Linked DNA regions of Drosophila melanogaster. The protein of the gene in region 3 purifies or fractionates together with the protein of the main gene of each other region. This does not show direct contact. Each region holds a gene or a part of one and is shown on either strand. Other genes may lie near its edges. The genes, in order: CG13887, Karybeta3, Rdh1 and CG5447.

Region 1 (4,494 bases), on a different chromosome or scaffold from region 3:
CATTCCCGACTACTGCACCATCAGCAACGAAGATACCCCAGGAGCTGTGGACATCAAAGCCTGGCTGGGACCAGCTGGAACCGTATCTCCCATGCACTACGATCCCAAGCACAACTTGCTGTGCCAGGTATTCGGTTCGAAGAGGATCATCCTAGCTGCTCCTGCAGACACAGACAATCTGTATCCCCACGACAGTGAGTTTTTGGCCAATACAGCGCGAATAGATGCTGCTCAACTGGATCCTGAAACATATCCCTTGGTAGCCAAGGTGAAGTTCTACCAGCTGCTCCTGCAACCTGGTGACTGTTTGTACATGCCACCCAAATGGTGGCACTATGTGAGATCTGAAGCTCCTAGCTTCTCTGTAAGCTTCTGGTGGGAGTAAGCATTTTAATGCAGTTTATTGAACAGCAAATTTATGTAGGATGATCTCTGTTCAAGTTAAGATTAAAGTATGCACTGCAAAACCACGATAGATCACTAAATATGCGAATTTGATTAGCATTTCTGGGTAATTATCAAGGAAACATATTCGATGCCCTTTTCGCACACCGATAATGTAACGCCTCCGATTTCTAAGCTCCAAGTATGCAAACAGGTTGCGACGTCTGACGTCATTGCCGTGTACTATCAGACATGATGTGGACTATCCGCGCCAACAGATGAATCATCGAATCGATCACAACTGGATGGGTACTTTTTGGTTGTTCTTTTAATAGCCACGACGCTTTTTGGGTGTGTTACTGTGGCAAACAAAACTTAACACATACGAATTAAATACAAAACTTCGGACGAAACGAACATTGAGTTGAGGGACCATTATCAATATACCCCATTATCATTATCAAATGGTATATGTAGTTGTATCTATGAGGATTAACAATAAGATGTGTGTGCTTTCTATCGATTTGAAATCGTTATAATCTTTTAAATGTGCCTGCTTTCGCTGCCCCACCGCCATGCTTATAAGTCTTATCGTTATTTAAATGTTGGACTTGGCTCCAGTGAGTTTAATCATCCTTGTTTCCGCCTCCGCCGATGGTTATCTTCTTCTGCAGCTTGCTGTACTCCTCGGTGAGTCGGTCGTACTCGCGGTTGATGCTCTCCGCCTGCGACTTAACCGCCTCCTTGTCCTTCTTTTCGCGATTCAAGTCGGAGGTTAGCTCCTGGACGCGCTCGCGCAGCTTGTTGAGCTGCAAAATTCGGATTTCGTTTGAGTTTCGATTGGATTTTTGTTCGTTTTGGGTGTTTGGGAATGGATATAAGGTGGGTGCTCTAGGTGGGGATACTTAGGACACTCGGGCGGTGAGTCCTTGCACACGTCTCCGCAGTCTTGACAGCTGTTTAAAGAGTTAACAAGAGGTTTAAACTTTCGAGTGGTGGCTTCTGTTTATCGTGGCCCAACATATGTGTTTGGGTGTGGTTTCAAAACGTTTAGCTGCGGTCAAAACAAAAGCACTAAGCCTATGACAAATTCACTCGGTCTTCAAACTGATTTAAGTTTACGTTTAAGATTTTAATCATGATATATACTGGTATTTAAAGTTCTATATCGTTAATAGACTACATTTAAAGCCTTTTCGTATCTTATATTCAAAACCAATTGAGAAAATGTACCAGAAAGTGGAATGAAGTATAGATTTTATAGATTTAGTCGGCTAAAGACATTATCTCGCCATATTTTGACCACACCTTCTATATGCATTGCCATATCTTTACAGCTGGTAGTAGCCAATTGAACTCCAAAGTCTTAGGTGTTAGCTCTCTAGACATGCCATTCCTGGGGATCGGATGCAGGGGTTTGGGACGTGGACTCACCTCGATGAGAGTGGTATCCTCGCCGGCTTCCTTGGCCTTCTCGGTGTTCTTGTTCTCCAGCAAGGAACGTGCGGCTGCAGTGGCGCTCTGTGCCTGCTTGAAGGAAGCCTCGCTCTGGGCCATGAGATTGGCCTGGGTGCAGATCAAGTTTACCAGTCGCCGGATGACCAGGGCAAGGAAAATGGCGAATCCAGAGATGTAGAAGTTCCGCTGGGCACGGAACAGCTTCATGCTGTGCTGCATCTCCACGTTCAAGTGGACCTCGTTAGACTGCTGCAAGCCGGAGTACTTGCGCATCTCGCGAATGGCCTCCAGGAGGAAAATGACCAGAATTCCCATGATCAGCAGGAAATATATGTGCGCCTGTTGTCCCAACATCGATAGGAATTTGGACTTGAAGAACCGGTTCCAGCGGTAAGGAGTGAGCACCGGCAGCACCAGCAGAAGGACCAGTGCGATTTCCGCATAGAGAAATCCGGCGATCAAAGTCCACACCAAACTCATTTTTAATGTTTTATTAATTCCCTTTTTCGTTCGATTTTCGCTTCTTGGATTTTCGCTTTTTTCGACTGCCGCCTGTAAGCAGAAATGCGTCCAAATTAGCTGCTAAGTCTACGGATTCGGGACGGACGGTCTAGTGGCTATTTATAAACTACGGCCGGAGTGACTGGCTGCTTACTTTAAATAGCAATAATTAAATCGCTGCCGTGATGAAATATGCGTATATTTTATGTAGTCACTGCGCCGGCCACGTCAACTCTGTTTTTTTGTGTACGCACGGGGCTGCCAACTCGCGCGCTGGAATCAACTGTAAATTGGGTAGCCAGAAAAAAGCTGAATTCATGGAAAATATTCGAATTTCAAAATCATTTTATTAGTAAGTAAAAAAAATGGCAAGAATTAGTACGTATTTTGCATTAAAATTAACCATTACCTCCAAATATTACAAGACAAATCGATCATAAGGTATTGTATGTAATGCTTTAAAGTGCCTTGGTAACCCGGCTTGCGATGTAAACAAGCTGGCAGCTGGGTTGCCAGGTTTCCATCGCAATGTGCTTCTCAACAAATTTTCAACTTTGCGCCATCGATCAAATTTTCTGCCCCGTTCAGTTGTTATATTCGAATCTCCGGCGGAGACGTGTGCCTAGGTAATCCCATCAATCCCCAGAGATGTCCTACCAGAACTGGCTAAACTACCTGCAGGCGGCGGAGAAGAACTCCATGATAAGTGGCCGCGCCCGCAAGGTGCTCTACAAATTCCCGGACGGCAGGCAAATGGCCGAGGAGTACAACATGGACACGGGAATCGTGCAGCGGCGGGCCTGGAAATCGAAGAGCAACAAGATCATGGGCGAGTCGGAGTGGGAAATCGAGCTGGGCGATGAGCCGCGTCAGTTAAACTGGTCGGGCAACAAGCCACCAGGATCTGGCGAGGAAACGGACTCCCTGGCCGGCGGAGATTTCACCCTGCGGGAGAGCAACACCGCGCCACTGCTGACCAAGCGGATCACCAAGAAGAACATTGAGTGGCGCATCCGCAACATGCCCTACTCCCTGGACACATACAGCGTAACCGCCGATCCCGAGAAGCGTGCCATAGTCGTGCGCACCTCGAACAAGAAGTACTACAAGGTCATCCCGGTCCCGGAACTGGACCGCTGTGGGGTCAAGCCCGCGCAGGAGAGCCTCTCTGTCCACCACCAGTTCAACACGCTGATCATTACCTACCAGAAACCAGATATCCTCTGCGAGATGGAGGCACAGGTGCTGCTTCTGCTCAAGAATGTCGACACCGAAACCGACATGGATGATCTGCTGAAGGGTCTGATGGCCAAATAAACGACTTAGATTGTAATACACAAAGTATTATTATTATTATTATTATTGTGAATTAACCTAATTTAATTTATTTAGAGAATTCCCAAATACACTTCACAAAGGGAACTGCACAAAACGTTGAAATGAAGAACGTGCCTAAAATTAAATCCTAATCACCACTCAGCGGGCACTGCATTACCACGAGATCTTTCAAATTAGTTGAAGTTTTACAAATGGATCTTAACCAGGCCTATTTCTGGAAGCTCTCAGCCATGCCGGCATAGCTGGCCAACGAAGGAGCCGAGGAGCTGGTGAACAGGCTGTAATCGAAGGAGGGCAACTCCAAGGGCGCCAAGGATGGCAGGTCCAGGTCTCCACTGCCCGCCAGCCGCTGATCGCAAGTATCGTGTTCCTGCTCCTCCTGGGCAGAATCGCTCTTCTTCAGCGTCTCCATATGGGGCTCCGAATGGGCCAGTGTGCTAGAGGCCTTTGCCACCAAGGAGGAGGTGAACTTGGCATCGAAGTCCTGCACTGTTTTGTCGATTGCCTTGGCCACCGACTGAGCGGATCCTCCTGCGCCTCCACTTGCTCCGGCTTCTGGTCGCAGGGGCAGCATGGGACTGGTTTCCTTCAAGGGAGCATAATCCTTCAGCTTGTTCAGACCATGCTGCGTCTTTCGCATCTCAATTTGACGCAGTTTGCGCTGAAAATCGAGGGTCAATGTGTCCAGAACTTCCTTGGATTTGGGCAGAGCCACCCGTTTTTGGGCATCCTGCATGTAGATTAGGGATGTTTCCAGCGCTTTAATGGCCTCCTCATAGCGGTGATTGCGTATAAATCGCTCCGACCTTCGCT
Region 2 (7,893 bases), on a different chromosome or scaffold from region 3:
TGTGGCCAACGAAACCGCATCCGCCCTTCCGCTGCACTCACCGTCTACCTGTTGCACTCACTCACCTTTGGGTTTTGGTTTCGTCTGATTCTGAGCGTTTAATCTGCACTTTGCCCACCAAGTCACCTAATGATTTAGAAAGCAAACAGAGAAACGCTCTCTTTCGCTATTTTCTCACTAATTTTACGAATTATTTTCTGCTCCTGTTTAGTCGCACACCTTTAAAGTGAGAATATCGTTTGCCTAATATCACTTAAATTCGTAAATAACATGTTAAAATGTGTGTTTTCCATTCGAGTTGAATGTTCCAAGTTTTTCCATCTTTGTTTTGATTTGCTTACTTTCCATTGCGAATCAGATCAGCTGTTTAGGAGGCCTCTGCATGTTCACTGCCACAGACAGAGTTGCCACAACGACTTTTGAAAAGTCTTTTGCGGGAATCGAATTTGAAATTGAATGAATGGTTAATAATAAAAAGCAATACTAAAACATAAGCTCGTGGCAATTAAAATATCGATTTACTTGTTATTTATTTCGTTTTTATCATGTTTAAAATACAATAAATGTTATTCCTTTAAATATATTTGTCGATCCTGGTTTGAATGCACAAAATTATATTTCGTTCGATTCGGACAACGTTTACATCCTGTTTTCCCCGCAGGGAGAGGCGGCCGTTAGGGCCGTATATACACACATATGTATTAAACATATGAAAATTTGAGTAACGAAAATATTCTATTGGAATTTGGGTGTGATTGGGATGGCATTTGGATCGCATCCATACAACATATCAAATTCTAACGAGGCAGACTTTTGTCTTCGGGAGAAGAGTTTTGATTAAAATCACAATATGTATAGAATTATATACCCGGATAACTCTATTGTACACATAAATGTATATCTGTATAAATGGATATCTATGTGTTAAACATATACTTCAAAATTTCGGTAAGATGAAAAATAATGATAACGAGTAGCTGAAGCATCCATCGTTCCTTTCTTGGCTTGGTCGACATGAATGGACTTGGTCTGAAGAGGATTGGGATTGCGATATCTTAGGCGGGAGCCACGTTTGCCAGCTCCCGGTAGGCATCCTGCAGCGCCTGCTGCTGTTCCGGGCTCAAGGTGCTGGCACAAGCAGCCATTACCTCCGGATTCGATTCCACTTGTTTGACGATAGTGAGCATACGAGTGCCGGTGGCGGACTGCGCCTCAACCACCTTGGTGCAGAAGGATTCAGCGATGATGGAGACAATGCGCGGCAGATTGCCGTTGTTTGCCCCAAGAATGACCGGATGGTTGCCTTCAATCAAGTCGCATAGGTAGCCATAGATGTGGGCGGCTTCTTCCGAATCCTCGGACACCGGCAGCCATGAGAACCAAACACCGATCAGCTCGTCCACGTTGCTCAGCGCCGAGTTGTTGTACTTGAGGATCTTAGCAAACGCCGAGATCGCATTCTCTGTCGGACTGATGTTCTCGATTTCGCGGGCTTTGGGATCGTTGATGACCTGCACCAGCAGTGGAATGATCTGGGCGCATGTATGCGCAAACTGCTCACCAGCGAATTGGCCGAGCACCCCGCATCCGTAGGCAGCCGCCTGGCGCACTTCTGGGGCCTTATCGCACACGTACTGGACGAGGGCTGGCGTAAAGATCTGCTGGTATGGAGCACAAGCGGGGCCACAAAATTCTGTAGGTAAATGAGAATACAAGTCTTTAGTTTTATGGTGGCACAAATGATTTGATGTTTGAAGGTATCGGCGGTACTATTGAACTGCAAAACTCAATTAAGAAAACCAACTCACCGATCAGATCATCGAACACGCATAAGCCCCACTGCCGATCAGCTACAGGTCGGCTGGGCTCCAGTAGCTTGACAAAGTGCGGAGCCACCTGTTCAAAGGCGGGTAAGAACTGAGCCTTGTTGGTCTGGAAAAGGGCGTGTGTAATGTCCACGATTTTGGAAAGGATGTAAACATCTGTGTCGTCCTGCTCGGCCAGCTCCTCCTCCACACCGTCGTCGTAGTCTTCCTCATTGCGAGCCGCCAAACGCTTGTCAGCACGCTCGAAATGCTCCAGAACATACTTGTTTATAATCTCGAGAACTTGTTTCATGGCATCCTCGTTAAGGCAATTCGGACCCAATGTCTCAATGCATTTTGCCAGCGAATTCAGCAGCTCCGACTGCACGTCTGGCTCCGGTTCCGTGACGATTACCTTGAGCAGCTCCGGACAAATGAACATCCACATGCCCTCCAGATACTGTGGACCCTTAATTTTTGCGCAGTCGAGAAGGTAAGGCAGCGACTCAGCAGCAGCTGTGCGGACACCGTCGTGGAAGTAGAACTTAAGCATGGGCAGCATTTGACGCACCACGTCCTCAGCGTATTCGGCAAATCCTTCCTTTAGTTCCCTAGCATAACAAACCAGCATCTCACAGGCCGAAGCCTTGTCGTCCATGCCAGCCGTGCGAATGGCGAAGTTCTGCTGCTCGCCAAGATTAATGAAAGACCAGTCCACATCACCGTCGATGTCCTCCACCTCGTCGTTGTCCAGCATCGCCACCTCAGGCTTCATGGTGGCCGTTCGCATCACTGGTCCCATAACGAGGGGCAGATATTGCTCAAATTGCTTGCCAAGGATTTTGCACATACGTGCCCAGGCAGTGATGAGATAGGAGGTCTGCGGATCATCATCAGCTAGTTCCCCCCCCTCGGTGTGATTGACCAGCAGCATATCCATGACTTCTCCGGCATCACCAATAAACTTCTCCCGCCCCACCGCCAATCCTATCAAGCTCACGCATTCAATGGTCTTGCCGCGAAGCATGCGGAGATCATCCGAGTTGGCGTTCTGGATGATGAACTTAAGGCATGGCATTAGGCGATCGTAGTAGGCCACAAATTCCGATTCGCAGGTGTCTGCAACCGATGCAATTGTCGTCACTACCTGCTCCAGTACCAGCTTGTTTCCCTTCTCCACCAGCTCCTTGAACTTCGAGTTCAGAATAGTCTCCAGCTTGGCCATGATCCCGTCCAGGTAGCGTGTCAATATATTTTTCGGGCAGTCCTCGCTGAAGTTCACCAGAGCGGCACCTGCGTGTGCTTGCACTCGCGGATTTTCCACGTCATCCAAAAGAGACAAGAGGCCGGGAATCACCTGGCGAAACAAGGGAAAATTGTTAAGCATTTAATTAATTTCAATTGCTTATTAGAAAGTTGATAAAGCAGTTGCAATTTAAGACTCACCTGGCTGTGGAACTTCTTCTCGAAGGTCTGTGCAAAGTCGGTGGACATTTGGCCAATGGCGTTGCAAGCGGCGTATCGAACGCGAGGATGAGGATCGCTCAGGAAGTTCAGGACTCCGGACATTACCTCATCTAGGATGGCTTCCATCTGCTTGTGACAACCCTCACCGATGGCCGAGATGGCCATGAGGGCTGCGAAGCGATGTTTCCAATCGGCATGACCCAACATAACCGGCAGAGCGTTCATTACGAGCGGAAGCACAATCTTTCCTCCCAATCCACAGGCGAGGCGATCCAGCGAGGACTCGGCGATCACGTTGTTGTCGCTGTGATCGTCATCATCGACCACGTCGGCGGTGGACCAGTTCTCGTCATCATCCAAATCCGTCATCATATGGAGAATCAGCGGGATCAGGGCCACGATATACTTGTCCGCTCGCTTGCGTATCATCGACGGGGCGTTCTCGGCGAGCGACACCATAACTTCCAACACTAGGTGACGCCAGCTGTCCTCAAAGTCCTGCGAGCTGAAAACCTTCATGCAGACCTCAAAAATGAACTCCAGCTGGGGACGCAGGAACTTCGGGCAATTCTCGGTCATCTCAATCAGGAGCTTTAGCAGACTCTGATCATCCTGGGCCTCGATGGTCTCGCCAGTGATGTGGATCATGCGGGGCAGCATATCAGCGAAGTGCTTGTGGATGGCCGTCTCGTTCTCCTTGTCGTGGTAGAGGATGAAGGCTCCGACGGCTCGCACGGCCTGTACTCGGACCTCCGGATCGGATCCAGCGTCCATGCTCTTGGCAAGCATCTGCTTGATCAGATCAATGTACTGAGCTTCCTGGTTTCCAAATATGGAAGGCACACTAGAGAAGATCCGCAGTGCCGATTCCTGCAGCTGCGGCGTAGGCGAGTTAGCGCATTGAAAGAGAAACTGCAAGATGTCGGGCCACTGGTTGTTGCAGTCCTCGTCGATCAGATTCCTGGCCACCTCGGCAACTACCTCGCAAATCTTGCGACGCAGCTGCGGCGTCACCTCCTGCTGCACGGCCAAAAGGATCTGCTGAAGCAATTGGTTCTGGGATTCAGCTGGAAGCTGCAAATGAGGTAATATTAGAAAGATGCTCAGAGGGCGATTCTCTGCGCGGCTTTATGCCTACCCCTTTGTAGAAATCAAAGAACTCGGTGGTAAACAGGCGGCGCAGCAACACGGCGGCCATCTGTCGAGCCTCCTCCGACTGCTGGCCATTTTGGATGTTGCCCAGGAGATGCGTCACCTTCAGCTCTCTTGAAAGATTGTTGTATGCTTCCTGGAATTAAAAATGGTTTTTGTACATATCCATTCGATGTAATTTTAAAATATATAAATATTATTTATATATGTAAATACAATTCCACCTTGACAACATTGGGCTCTGAAACAATTTAAAACGGATCTCGATTATTTCCATCTCTCAAGTGAAAAGCAAAGTCACAATTCTGAATAGGTATTTTTAGCAATCCAGGTGGAACTTTGGGTGGAAGCGGTACCATGCTTGCCATCTGCCCAAGGTCAACAGAGTGGGTGGGGTTTTCTGGCTGGTGTGGCGTGGGCGTGGCGGTGCCATGTGGCGCCGGAGCGAGACTTCGGAATCCGAGTGGCTTATCAACCGACAGATTGCATTTCTGGAACCGTGTGTCATGGATTTCGCACCTGCTCTTTGTTTCCGTTTGCGGCGGCAATCGGTAAACCGAATTGCCTACTACGAATTCTAATGGAAAATCATGTGGCGGCCATGCAAATTGCACAATTCGCTTCCATTTTGCTTTGTTTGCTTGCTTCGCACCGTCTGTCCGTCGGCTCTCCCTCGCACACATGCGAATGTCGGGGCAAAGCGGAGGGCGAAAACACGTTTTGTACGATGAATCAGATTCGTCTGAAATTTCGGCCGTAGGATTCGCACACCGACGTTTGTTCGTGTGTATACATACATATGTGCCGGGAGAAGATCTTATTGATGGCAGTCCGCCGTATATTTTTGCTCATGTGCAACCCATTGCGGGAATTGCGCATCGAAATTTCGAGGCGACGGCAATACGCTCTGCAAGATCCCCTGCCACGCCGTAATCGAGAATATTGGGACTCACCTCCGCCTGCTGGCGAACATCGTTGTCCGTGGACAAGAGGGAGGCCAGAAGCTGCTGGAAATGGGCCTGATCCGCTGCCATCTTATCCTGTCTGGTTCAAATGAATCGAAACACGGGAACTCGTGGAAACCACGATTTTCACTTCAGTCTTCACGCAACGGCGGCCGCCTAAAAAGAGCAGAACGGAACAACTGGCTGGGTTGCCAAGGTTCGCAAACAAGCGCACTGCACTCTTGGTCAGTTTTCGTGATTGCCGTGAATCTTGGGATGGTTGGTCTTTGGTGGGTGCTGCTGCTGCGCGGCCTATCCAACTTTCTTTTATTTAACTTTTTATGCAATTTAGTGGACACGCTGGAATCTCGCTAAAGCGCTAAGGCAATACTGCTCCGCCGTTATCGATAAAACGCGACTGCTTTTGGCGCGCAAGCGGCCGCCCGCACTAGTGATGCCCGATAGCTGGCGCGTTTGTAGAACCGTCAAAAACTCTAGCTAAAGTTTAACAGTTGATTATGATCTTTTAACGGAAATAGAACTGTGTTAGTGTGAGAACACAAAGTATTTCTAAAAATTACAATCTATTTCCAAAGACCGTAGGACTGAATGAATTGTGTGTATTTAAAAGAAAAAGTCAGGTAGCCTAGATTTAAATGGTTTGTTTCTTGTTTAAAATAACTATGTAAATTATATATATATATTGTAAGCTAGAAACAAGAAATGGCTTGAAACTCATTTAAATCTAATGGCATATTATTCCGAGTGCACCATTCACCGATTTGTGTGCAGGTTTTCTAAATACAATAACAATCATTGGTGAAAATGATGAAAGGCAAGGCTTTTCTTGAACCGAAAAGCTTAAAAAGAAGCTGCACATGGGCTGCGATCTAGACATGATAAGTAATATTTATTCAATTATTGTATTTACATATGTATTTCTTGCGATCATTTAAGACCCTAACACCTCGGAAGAAGCATTGCTGTTAATGTGCAGCTGTGAGGCCACTATAAGGTTGTTACAATTCGTTTCAAGGCAATTATTCGAAAGTAAAGGACCCCCAATGAAATTCTGAACAGACTCTAGATTATAAGATAGACTATAGATAATACACCGCTGTCGGTGTGTACTAAATGTTGATTATGTTGATTAAAACATTGAAGACATTAGTAAGGTGGTTGAGCTATGAAAATCATCGATTACTCTGAATTCATGTGCTAAGTTAACGGGCATCATAGACCTTCAAGATAGCATAAACGTGGAAGATGGTGTCCATATGGGCCTGATAAATAATATATATGAAATATATATCCAAAATTGGGTCGCATTTGAAGAGTTTAAGACATTCAGCTGAAGGATGTCCTTGCGGAAGACTCGACACAGATTGGAATCAATAAATTCAGCCGATTCTGAGTTATATAATGACATTATGACATCGAAGCCACTGTTGAAAATGTTCGGGAAGACTGACTCCGTCTTGGTTTTTATGTCAGCTATGTTTTGAAATTACCTAGTATGGCATATATTGAAAAATTTCTGCTAGACTAAGCATTAGTATAAATATGTATATAACTAGTTCAAACCACAATTTTTGGAACCATAAGAATTGTTCGCACTTACGAAATAGTGCTAATGGGTTATCCTTTAACCAGGCGCTTCAGATTGGTAAAGAGCCGCAACGTGAAGTGGTAGATCATTTCCACAAGACTCAAGATGGAGAACCCCATGAATAGACCGAAAATGCCACCGCAATTCGCCAGAAACTCGGTCATTCCGTAAAGCTCCGACCGCTTTGAAGTGATGAACTGACTCTGCTTGAAGTAAATGGACAAGCGGGACATCTGGGAGCCGGGATACTCCTTCAGGAACTCAGTGTCGCCCTCAGCCACTAGCATTTCTTCCAAATCAAAGTTGGCCTGGGAAATCTCCGTGTTGTAGACGAGGGATGTGCATGCTGGCATGCAGTTACAGGCAGATTCCACGCTCCGCGAATTTTCTCGGCCAGCGTTCAGCGCTTTTACTCTTTTGAATTCCCTGACTAACAACTCCCTTTCTGCCCGATCGTAGCAGTGGATCTTGTCCTCTCCGCATACAGGCATGTCCACGTTTCTGGGCATCGAGAACTTAACGCATCCGCACTTGGTCAGCGTGAAGTTGGCCAAGCACTCCAGTTGGCAATTTGATTCGGTGTACACCTTAAAAAAACGCAGCGACCGCTCGTGGCTGAGGAAGCACTGCCTCCGAACTGGATGGTACTCTGCTATTCCCGACGACATGGTGATCATGTTGGGCTTCACTGCGATCAGCACCTCCTTGCCCATGGGAATGCGCACAAACTGTTTGGAAACCTGCGGGACGTCATCGGGCGCATGAAGCAGTACCTGTAGATTGGCATTACTGTAGACACATATTGGAGCAAGAAAAAGCAAACAGCTACGTTTTCAAATTTTCCCACCTTAAATCCCTGCACAGGTCCTCGACAGGCGTAGTCCACCTCCTGCTTAAAGCTTTGGAGGGCCAAGAA
Region 3 (3,747 bases):
CCACAGCTGTCAACAGAGGCCACTCGTGTTGCGAAAGAGGAACCCATTTCTTCGTCCCCACTTCTAAAAGCAGTGGGCATCACACTGTCGCGTCAAAACTCAACACGGGAGGTAAAACGAGATGTGATTGATATATCCAATGCCGAAATAGTTCCGTTGGAGAGCGAGTTCGTTCTGAACCAGCGCGATGACTCGAAAGAGTTCGACGAGGACGTGCAACTGTCCACCGAGGAGCCCAAGTTTATTGTCTGGCGGAAGGGCAACAAGGTGCTTTTGCGGCTACAGTTTACCCCAGCAGAGGAGCTGTCCGGATTAGCAGACGTCGTTCTGGGCTTCTATATGCAGTACACATACGTCAACACCGTAAACAATGCGCAAGAGAAGAGGGAACCCACAACCCATGTGCTCCACTCCAGGGTGTTTATCACGGCGGGAGCAACTGAGCAGAAAGCCAACTAAACTGGAAACTTATTAGCCAACAGGCGTACTAATCGACTTATGCGAAATATGAAATATGCTTTATGAAAGCTAGAGAAATATGTATTTATTTATTAATCCGTTCGTGAAACAGCAGCTAGTATTCAAGTATAATAAAAGGCTTGTTCTAACACTATTCGTTCTTCTTTAGTTATTAGCTTCCAGCTTATCTAATCCGGTCCACTTCTCGCTCTCGGCCCACAGGAACTTGGCAACCTTATCGTCCAAGGCACCAGAAGCCACAGGCTTTGGTTTGCAGTCACTGAAGTACAGGCCAGAGATGTTCTTAAGCTCCGGATCCAAAGCAGCGTAAATCGAGGTCTGAGCTCCACTCTTCGGTGTCTTTAAAAGCGGCCAAATCATTGGCTTTAAAAAGAACCTAGGAAGGTTAACAGGTATTACTGGGAAGGTCCTAATTCACTTATTCATCACTTACTTCACAAGGTTTGTCTGGAAGAAGGCCCAGTTCCGCGCCAGCTCAGTGTCCACCACACCAGGGTGAAGGGCATTTACTGTGACTCCGCTGCCCTCCAAACGCTTGGCCAATTCCCGGGTGAACAGGACGTTGGCCAACTTGCTCTGGCTGTAGGCTAGGCCCTCATCATACGACTTCTCGCTGTTGAGGTCGGCTACGTTAATGGAGCCACGCGCATGTGCCAGACTGGACACAACGACAATGCGACTGGGAGCCGAGTTCTGAAATTTTGTAAGACCATTATCTGACGCACTTGACTATTATATAGCACACTTGCCTTCAGTACGTCGAGCAGCAAGTTAGTCAACAAAAAGTGACCAATATGATTTACTCCCAGCTGCAGTTCGTAGCCATCCTTGGTTAGGGTCTTGGGACAACGCATCACGCCGGCATTGTTGATCAGGACGTGAAGCTTGGGTTGCTCCTTCTTGAAGCTGATTGATAGGATAGGTTTTTAAATCTTACAGAGACAAGAAAATTCTCTGGAGGTAAGCTTACCCATCAACAAATTTGCGAATGGAGTCTAGGGAACTTAGGTCCAGCTCTCGAGAGAATATATTCTGGTTATTTGTCTCCTTGATGATATCCTTGCGGGCCTTTTCACATCGGTTCATATCCCTGCAAGCCAAGTACACAGTTCCCCCACGTCTGGCTATCTCCAGAGCCGTCTCCTTGCCAATGCCCGTGTTGGCACCGGTCACAATGAATACCTTTCCGGTCTCATCGGTGTCCTTCGTAAACTTTCCACCTTGCATGTACTCCCTGGAATTATCAATAGGAATTACCTGAAAAGCTGTTATCTATTACCCGGGGGAATCATAGTAGCGAGTCATGGATGCGTAGTCACACTGGTATATTTCATAATTACACGAAATAATTACCGCAACTCACTTCAAGAAGTAGATGCCCACGCCGATAGTAGCTGGCCACATAATCAAGGGGCTCAATAAGCAATCGATGAAAATGCACATTTTGAATATCTTTGTACAATTCCTTGTATTTAGGGTGTTGTCAGATCTTATTTCAATCGTTGAGTGCGTTCTGGTACGAACAGCACAGCTGTTAATATATTACTGAGCACAGCTACCCCACACAAACATATATTATCGCTAATTCGGAGTGAGAACCTGACGAAATGGAGAACGTCGGGAGAGAGATTCTTAACGAAGGTCAAGAGAAAACGAATTCTCAATAATATGTTATGATAGTGGAAAGCATTCAAACAAATAAAAGCAATTCCATTGATGTTTATATTTACTCAATGGGTATATTACGCGTGGAGTAAAAGGGTATAATAGGTTCGCTGAACAGTATGTAACATATAGAATAAAGTTTATATTTAGACTTGATCAGCAACACTAGTCAAAACGATCCATCCAGCCATATCCGTCCGTTTGAACGTCGAGATATAGGGAACTAACTGATTCGTTATGTTACATACATACTTTCCAACTAATTTAGTATACCCTCCTACTCCAGGAATAACGGGTACAAAAATAAAGCATGAATCATCCAAATTGATTCCATCACTTTTACAAAAAAAACAAAAGAATTTGACCATTTTTCTTTAGTACTGAACACAGAAATGCAACAATGTTGATCTCAAAATACAAATTTTAGATTAGGTAAAGCTTTTTTGGGAGCATTTCTTTATTTTCAGCTTGTAGAATCCGTAAGAATTCTACAATTCAAACATAAATTATTACATTTTGCGTTAGTCTTCATTATGATAAGCTATTAAAATAATAAATTATGAAATGGCGAGGGATAAACTAATGGTTGCTTAATCAACTTTGGTTGAATTCACGCCGGTCCACTTCTCGCTCTCCGCCCAGAGGAACTTTCCAGTCTTGTCGTCCTGGGCAGCTGCGGACACTTCCTTTGGCTGGCAGTCGCTAAAGTAGAGCCCGGAAACATCCTTTAGTGCAGGATCCAGGGCTGCGTAGAGAGTGGTCTGCGCTCCATTGCGAGGGGTTTTGAAGAGTACCCACAGGAGGGGCTTGAGCAGTAGCCTAAGCGATACGAGTGTTAATATCAAACTCAAGTAGTGCCCACTTATGTCTTCTATCTTACTGTGCAAAGGGGTGTTTCAGGAACTTCCAATTCCTCGACAGCTCCGTGTCCACGGCACCGGGATGTAGGGAGTTGGTTGTGACCCCCGTTCCCTCCAGGCGCTTGGCCAATTCCCGGGTGAACAGGACGTTGGCCAGCTTGCTCTGACTATAGGCACCGATTCTGCTGTACGACTTTTCACTGTTTAGGTCGGCAGTTTTAATGAAACCTTGGGTGTGCACCAGGCTGGAAACGTTCACGATGCGACTGGGTGCAGTTTTCTAGTGAGATTAAGCAGGGAGTTTGGTTAACAAGGTGCTAAGAAAGTCCTGAGTACCCAAAATACCTTCAATACGTCCAGCAGCAAGTGGGTGAGCAGGAAGTGTCCCATATGGTTGACTCCCAACTGCATTTCGAAGCCATCCTTGGTCAGTGTTCTGGGACAGTGCATAACTCCTGCATTGTTTATCAGGACATGAAGCTTATCCTGCTCTTTCTTGAATCTAATAAACGAGGGAAATCAGTAACGCATTCGTCGATCTATCATGTTTGCGTTTACCCAGCAGCGAATTTGCGAATGGATTCCAGCGAACTCAAGTCCAGTTCTCGAGAGAATATGTTCTGGTTATTTGTCTCCCTGATAATATCCTGGCGCGCCTTCTCGCACCGGTTCATATCCCGGCATGCCATGTACACAGTGCCTCCTCGCTTGGCAATCTCCAGGACCGTCTCCTTGCCAATGC
Region 4 (4,133 bases), on a different chromosome or scaffold from region 3:
AGTATAAATTGTTGTGCCCATTATTAGAAATGTGTTTTCTTTAGGTATTTTTTATTCGCCATTGTTTGGTAAGCTAAAGATCTTATTAACCAGATTTCTTGTTAACATGGATCCTGCGCACTGTCTTATAGTGGAGATTACGGATCGTAAAATGTTTCCTATGAACGGTTGTGGCCTTGGCAGTGGTGGTTGTGGTTGCCTCCGTGGTTGTGGTGTTGGTGGATGTGGTGGAATTGGTCTGGGCTGAGGAAGGCTGCAGCAGGCAGAATCCGGCGAATAGGACGAGCGCCAATAGATAAGTGCTTAGCTTCATTGTGCGGCTTTGCAAGAATCGTGAATGTATAAGACGAGGCTTTAGAGGCCTTTATATATACGAAAGTTTTCTACGCCAGACAATAACAAATATCCGCAGATGATAAGTAAATAGCGAAATACAATTGAAAATCAGCAAAAACAAATTTTGCACGCCACATTTTGCTTAACTTGTTTGCTTCCAATTCGATGTTTACCCGCCGCAGGAAAACAGTTGTAGGCGCGTTTAAATGACGGCAATATATATATTTTTCTTATAAGATATATAACTATGTTAATCAATGTTGCTGATTTATATTAAATATCGAACGATTCTCGATTCGATTTATGTGTAAGTTCATTTGGCGCTGTTTGAAATCGGTAAGTATTGTATAGAAAAAGTTATGCGTATGCATTATGTCTGATTAAGCTTGAACTATGTGTGTGTGTATTTATGCAAATGTTAATGCCATATTGAAATTACAACATTAGACAATCGAATTGTTGGCAACTACTACAAACATGATGTATACAATTCTATTCATTTTCAAATTACAAAACAATCAATTCTCGCTGGCCTTTCGGTCCGATTAATAAAACAATTGTAACATATGCGAATGTGTGTATATGTTGATGCTTCTTGCTTCGGCTCAAAATGCAGTTTCGGTAGCTTTTCACTTACATGACTATGCCTGCTATTGCATAAATACTAACTAACTGGCCGTACACTGCCTTGGCTAATCATTAACGGCTAATCTAGCATACAGTATGTGGCTGCAGCGGAGGCACATCTACCAGCACACCCGTGACTAAGTCGCATGCCCCGAAAACGCTCTGGCCACTGCTTTTGCCAAGCTGAAAGGATGCGAAAGTAAATGTTAGTTAGTTCAGTTTGCAATTGAGTGCGGAATATCTGAGATACTCACACATATGGTTATAGGTTATAAAGCTTTAGCTGCTTCCACAGCTTTTTATTGATTTATATTTTTGGAAACGCACTCTGATGGCGCTGACTTTTGCTTGATAATTGCTGAAACGGACTCTTCTCCTTCACATGCCTGTTGATGCGACTGTAGCTGCTCGATCTCACATGAAAAACTCGTTGGCTGAATGGGAAAGCGGAAGTCACGTTCGCCCCGGACGATCGAATATTGTAATCTCTATGACGCGAAGTCCCCGATAAGTGGGATCGATCAGCTGCAGTCCCTTGGTGTTGTAAATGCGTTCATTTTGGGAAGCCACAAATTTGGATATCTTGCGAAGGGTCTGTGGGGGCGAAAGAGCATTAGTATGTGCAGGCAATAGAGCTGGAAGTGCCACTGCCTTATTTTAAACTCGTATAACAGATAGCACGATCACTAATTAGCAAGTAATACTACTACTTGATTTATCAAGTTCTCTGACCTTTATACCTTAAACAGATATGAAAACCTTGAGTACAAGGACATTAACGAGAATAACTTTGATAACTTATACGATCGCATATCGACATTTGTGAAATTGTTGACTCTAATCCCTATTAATAGTTCCCTAGTGGAACTAGACTCTATTGCATTGACCCACATGTGTGTAATCCAAACCCAAATGACGCACCTTTTCATAGTGCGTTTCGGAGCACATATAGATCAAGTAGGCCGTGATGCAGCCAATGCAGCCCTCGCAATAGGTGCCGCAGGATCCCTCCTCCGCCTCGGCGTAGAACTCGTTTAGCCTATTGATGGTGGCCTCGAAGACGTGTCTTTCAATCTGCACGAGAATCGATATGAGTTCGGATGATAATCCCACAGATAATATAGAGTATTATATAGTCACCATGCCCTCCAGCTCAGCGGGCAGCCGTGTATGGAACTTGACGGAGGTGCCCTCGCTGTAATCGCGCTGGATGAAGACCTTGCTGAAGACCACGCCCCCTCCGGTCGCCTGGAGCGCTGTGGGATTACCGCCCGCTGGAGTAGTGCCACCGCCTTGGGACATGTTGTCGCTGAAAAGGCGGATAATGGCATTAATGGCCTCGCTCTGCAGCGCCCGATGCATTTGGTTAAGGGCAATCATCTTGATGCTCAGAGTGGAGTGTCCAAATCCCAAATGGACAGCTGGCCTTGCTTTTTCCAGCACCGCCCGAAATGGGGGTGTTTTGCTGGTCTGGTCGGTGGGGCACGGCCTGCTTGGTTACCCACCTGTTTGTCTTGGCTTGAAGTAATCGCAGTTGGCCTGGAAAAGCTCACAGGAATGCCCTAATTGCCTCAAATTCCTTAAATTGGTCGAGAGATAAATGTTTGCAAACTCCAAGTGTTACCAGATGGCGAGTTGGCTTTTATACCAAAATAGTGTTACCCCATCCCTATCGTTCCATAAATATTCTAAAAATACTGCATGTACTAAAAAATACTATGGATGTGCAGTGTTGCCACTAAGGCAGAAAATTATTATATCTTTGGCGCCATAATTCAAATCGGATTTCTGGACACAATTTTAAGTTTGAAAGGATAATATTAAAAGTTCCCATTATATCCTTAAATCTTTATTTCTTCTTCCATAATTTTGTGCTCATATATCATTGTCCGTAACGTTTCCCATGCATTTGAAGAATATCAACTTCGAATTTAGAGCTTGCTTTTGGCCTGGACTGCGGTGGCCGCCACGAGAGCCGCTCCTCTTCCGGATCCGTCCTCCGAAACAACCAGCTCAAACTTGACGCCCGGCTTGAGGAGCTTCTTCATGTGGTACTGGAGCATGTCGTGGTACTTGGGATGGAAGCGATACACGCTACCGTCTATGCCGATGGCCACCTCGTTGATGTTCATCTTGTTGATAATGGTGACCAGGCCGCAGGCACATAGCTTGGCAGACCTGGAGGACACCGCCTCGCAGATGTATCGCAGGGCCTCTTTGTCGGGTTCCTGGCAGCCCAATATGCCCAATTCGCTAAGGACCTTATTGCAATTGCGATACTCGCCAGGTGCATCACTTTCAACATCGGAAATATAGGCGGTTTTGAAGCTCCATCGCTCCTGGATCTTCTCGGAAATGATGCCGTGGAACATAAAACCCTTGGCAATCATATCGGTGATGACCAAACGTACAAGTTCACCCATATACATGCCCGATATGCACTTTTCGAACGTCTGCTTGCCGGGATTGGGTGTTACCTTGTCGACTGCCTTGTCGTAGGAAGTTCGAACGAACTCCAGAACACCATTGTCCCCAAAGGCGCCCCACTCGCAGTTGATTATCATTGATGGCTTGGGACTGGTCTGGTATCCTTCGAAGCATTCGGCATTTACTGTTTTCTCCACATAGCACGCATTGGAGCCGGTTCCCACGATCAATCCAATCCGGCAGTTGGGATGATAGAAGGCGCAGGACATCAGAGTGCCCACCGTATCGTTGAGAATGGCGACGGTATTGATCTTTAGATCGCCCCTTCGATCGATTGCCTCCTGGAGAAGACTCACCTAGGAATGCATATTAAAAGAAATTCATTTGTTAAATATAAATGTTAATAGAACCACACGTAAATAGTTTGAACGCCATGAAACTCACCACATTCTTGCCCACCACGCCTTCGCAGCTGAATCCTTTGGTCCAGGCCACAAGGATACCCTTGGAGAGTCCCTGCTGCTGGAGCGGAAACGAGAAGGTGAAGCCCAGAGCCAGTGATTCATTCTCCAGGCCATGGGAGTGACAAAACTCCGACAGGCATTCGGCAAGGAAGTCGAAAAGCGCCTTTCCCGATCCGGACATCAGAGTTTGAGGAAAATTATAGCCCTTCGACATGGTTTCCACGTCCGAGTTGCTAATCAGGTTCACCAGAAGCACCCTGAAATTAGAGCCACCCAGAT

The links.
Region 1: the proteins of Rdh1 (region 3) and CG13887 purify together in Drosophila melanogaster (affinity purification with mass spectrometry, with the first as the bait; one large-scale study listed by BioGRID). This does not show direct contact.
Region 2: the proteins of Rdh1 (region 3) and Karybeta3 purify together in Drosophila melanogaster (affinity purification with mass spectrometry, with the first as the bait; one large-scale study listed by BioGRID). This does not show direct contact.
Region 4: the proteins of Rdh1 (region 3) and CG5447 purify together in Drosophila melanogaster (affinity purification with mass spectrometry, with the first as the bait; one large-scale study listed by BioGRID). This does not show direct contact.

What each region holds. Positions count from the first base shown.
Region 1 is NT_037436.4:835,949-840,442, reverse strand, and holds CG13887 (uncharacterized protein), read right to left. Parts: upstream 2,583-4,494; 5' UTR 2,323-2,582; coding exon 1,819-2,322; intron 1,341-1,818; coding exon of another isoform or gene 1,290-1,340; exon of another isoform or gene 1,194-1,289; coding exon 1,011-1,193; 3' UTR 512-1,010; downstream 1-511. Other genes in the region: JMJD5 (jumonji domain containing 5), read left to right, coding at 1-385; CG13901 (uncharacterized protein), read left to right, coding at 2,992-3,660; CG42554 (uncharacterized protein), read right to left, coding at 3,890-4,494.
Region 2 is NT_033777.3:4,647,252-4,655,144, reverse strand, and holds Karybeta3 (karyopherin beta 3), read right to left. Parts: upstream 5,970-7,893; 5' UTR 5,459-5,969; coding exon 5,378-5,458; intron 4,561-5,377; coding exon 4,411-4,560; intron 4,347-4,410; coding exon 3,252-4,346; intron 3,163-3,251; coding exon 1,809-3,162; intron 1,694-1,808; coding exon 1,056-1,693; 3' UTR 521-1,055; downstream 1-520. Other genes in the region: rpk (ripped pocket), read right to left, coding at 7,007-7,750, 7,807-7,893.
Region 3 is NT_033778.4:7,664,113-7,667,859, reverse strand, and holds Rdh1 (retinol dehydrogenase 1), read right to left. Parts: upstream 2,033-3,747; 5' UTR 1,924-2,032; coding exon 1,844-1,923; intron 1,715-1,843; coding exon 1,451-1,714; intron 1,387-1,450; coding exon 1,230-1,386; intron 1,174-1,229; coding exon 914-1,173; intron 857-913; coding exon 625-856; 3' UTR 517-624; downstream 1-516. Other genes in the region: DCTN4-p62 (dynactin 4, p62 subunit), read left to right, coding at 1-459; CG2065 (uncharacterized protein), read right to left, coding at 2,736-2,964, 3,026-3,285, 3,351-3,507, 3,564-3,747.
Region 4 is NT_033777.3:26,450,993-26,455,125, reverse strand, and holds CG5447 (uncharacterized protein), read right to left. Parts: upstream 2,593-4,133; 5' UTR 2,469-2,592; intron 2,273-2,468; 5' UTR 2,266-2,272; coding exon 2,104-2,265; intron 2,038-2,103; coding exon 1,885-2,037; intron 1,558-1,884; coding exon 1,417-1,557; coding exon of another isoform or gene 1,378-1,416; 3' UTR 1,218-1,377; intron 1,147-1,217; 3' UTR 541-1,146; downstream 1-540. Other genes in the region: CG43117 (uncharacterized protein), read right to left, coding at 86-313; Hex-t2 (hexokinase testis 2), read right to left, coding at 2,895-3,746, 3,835-4,133.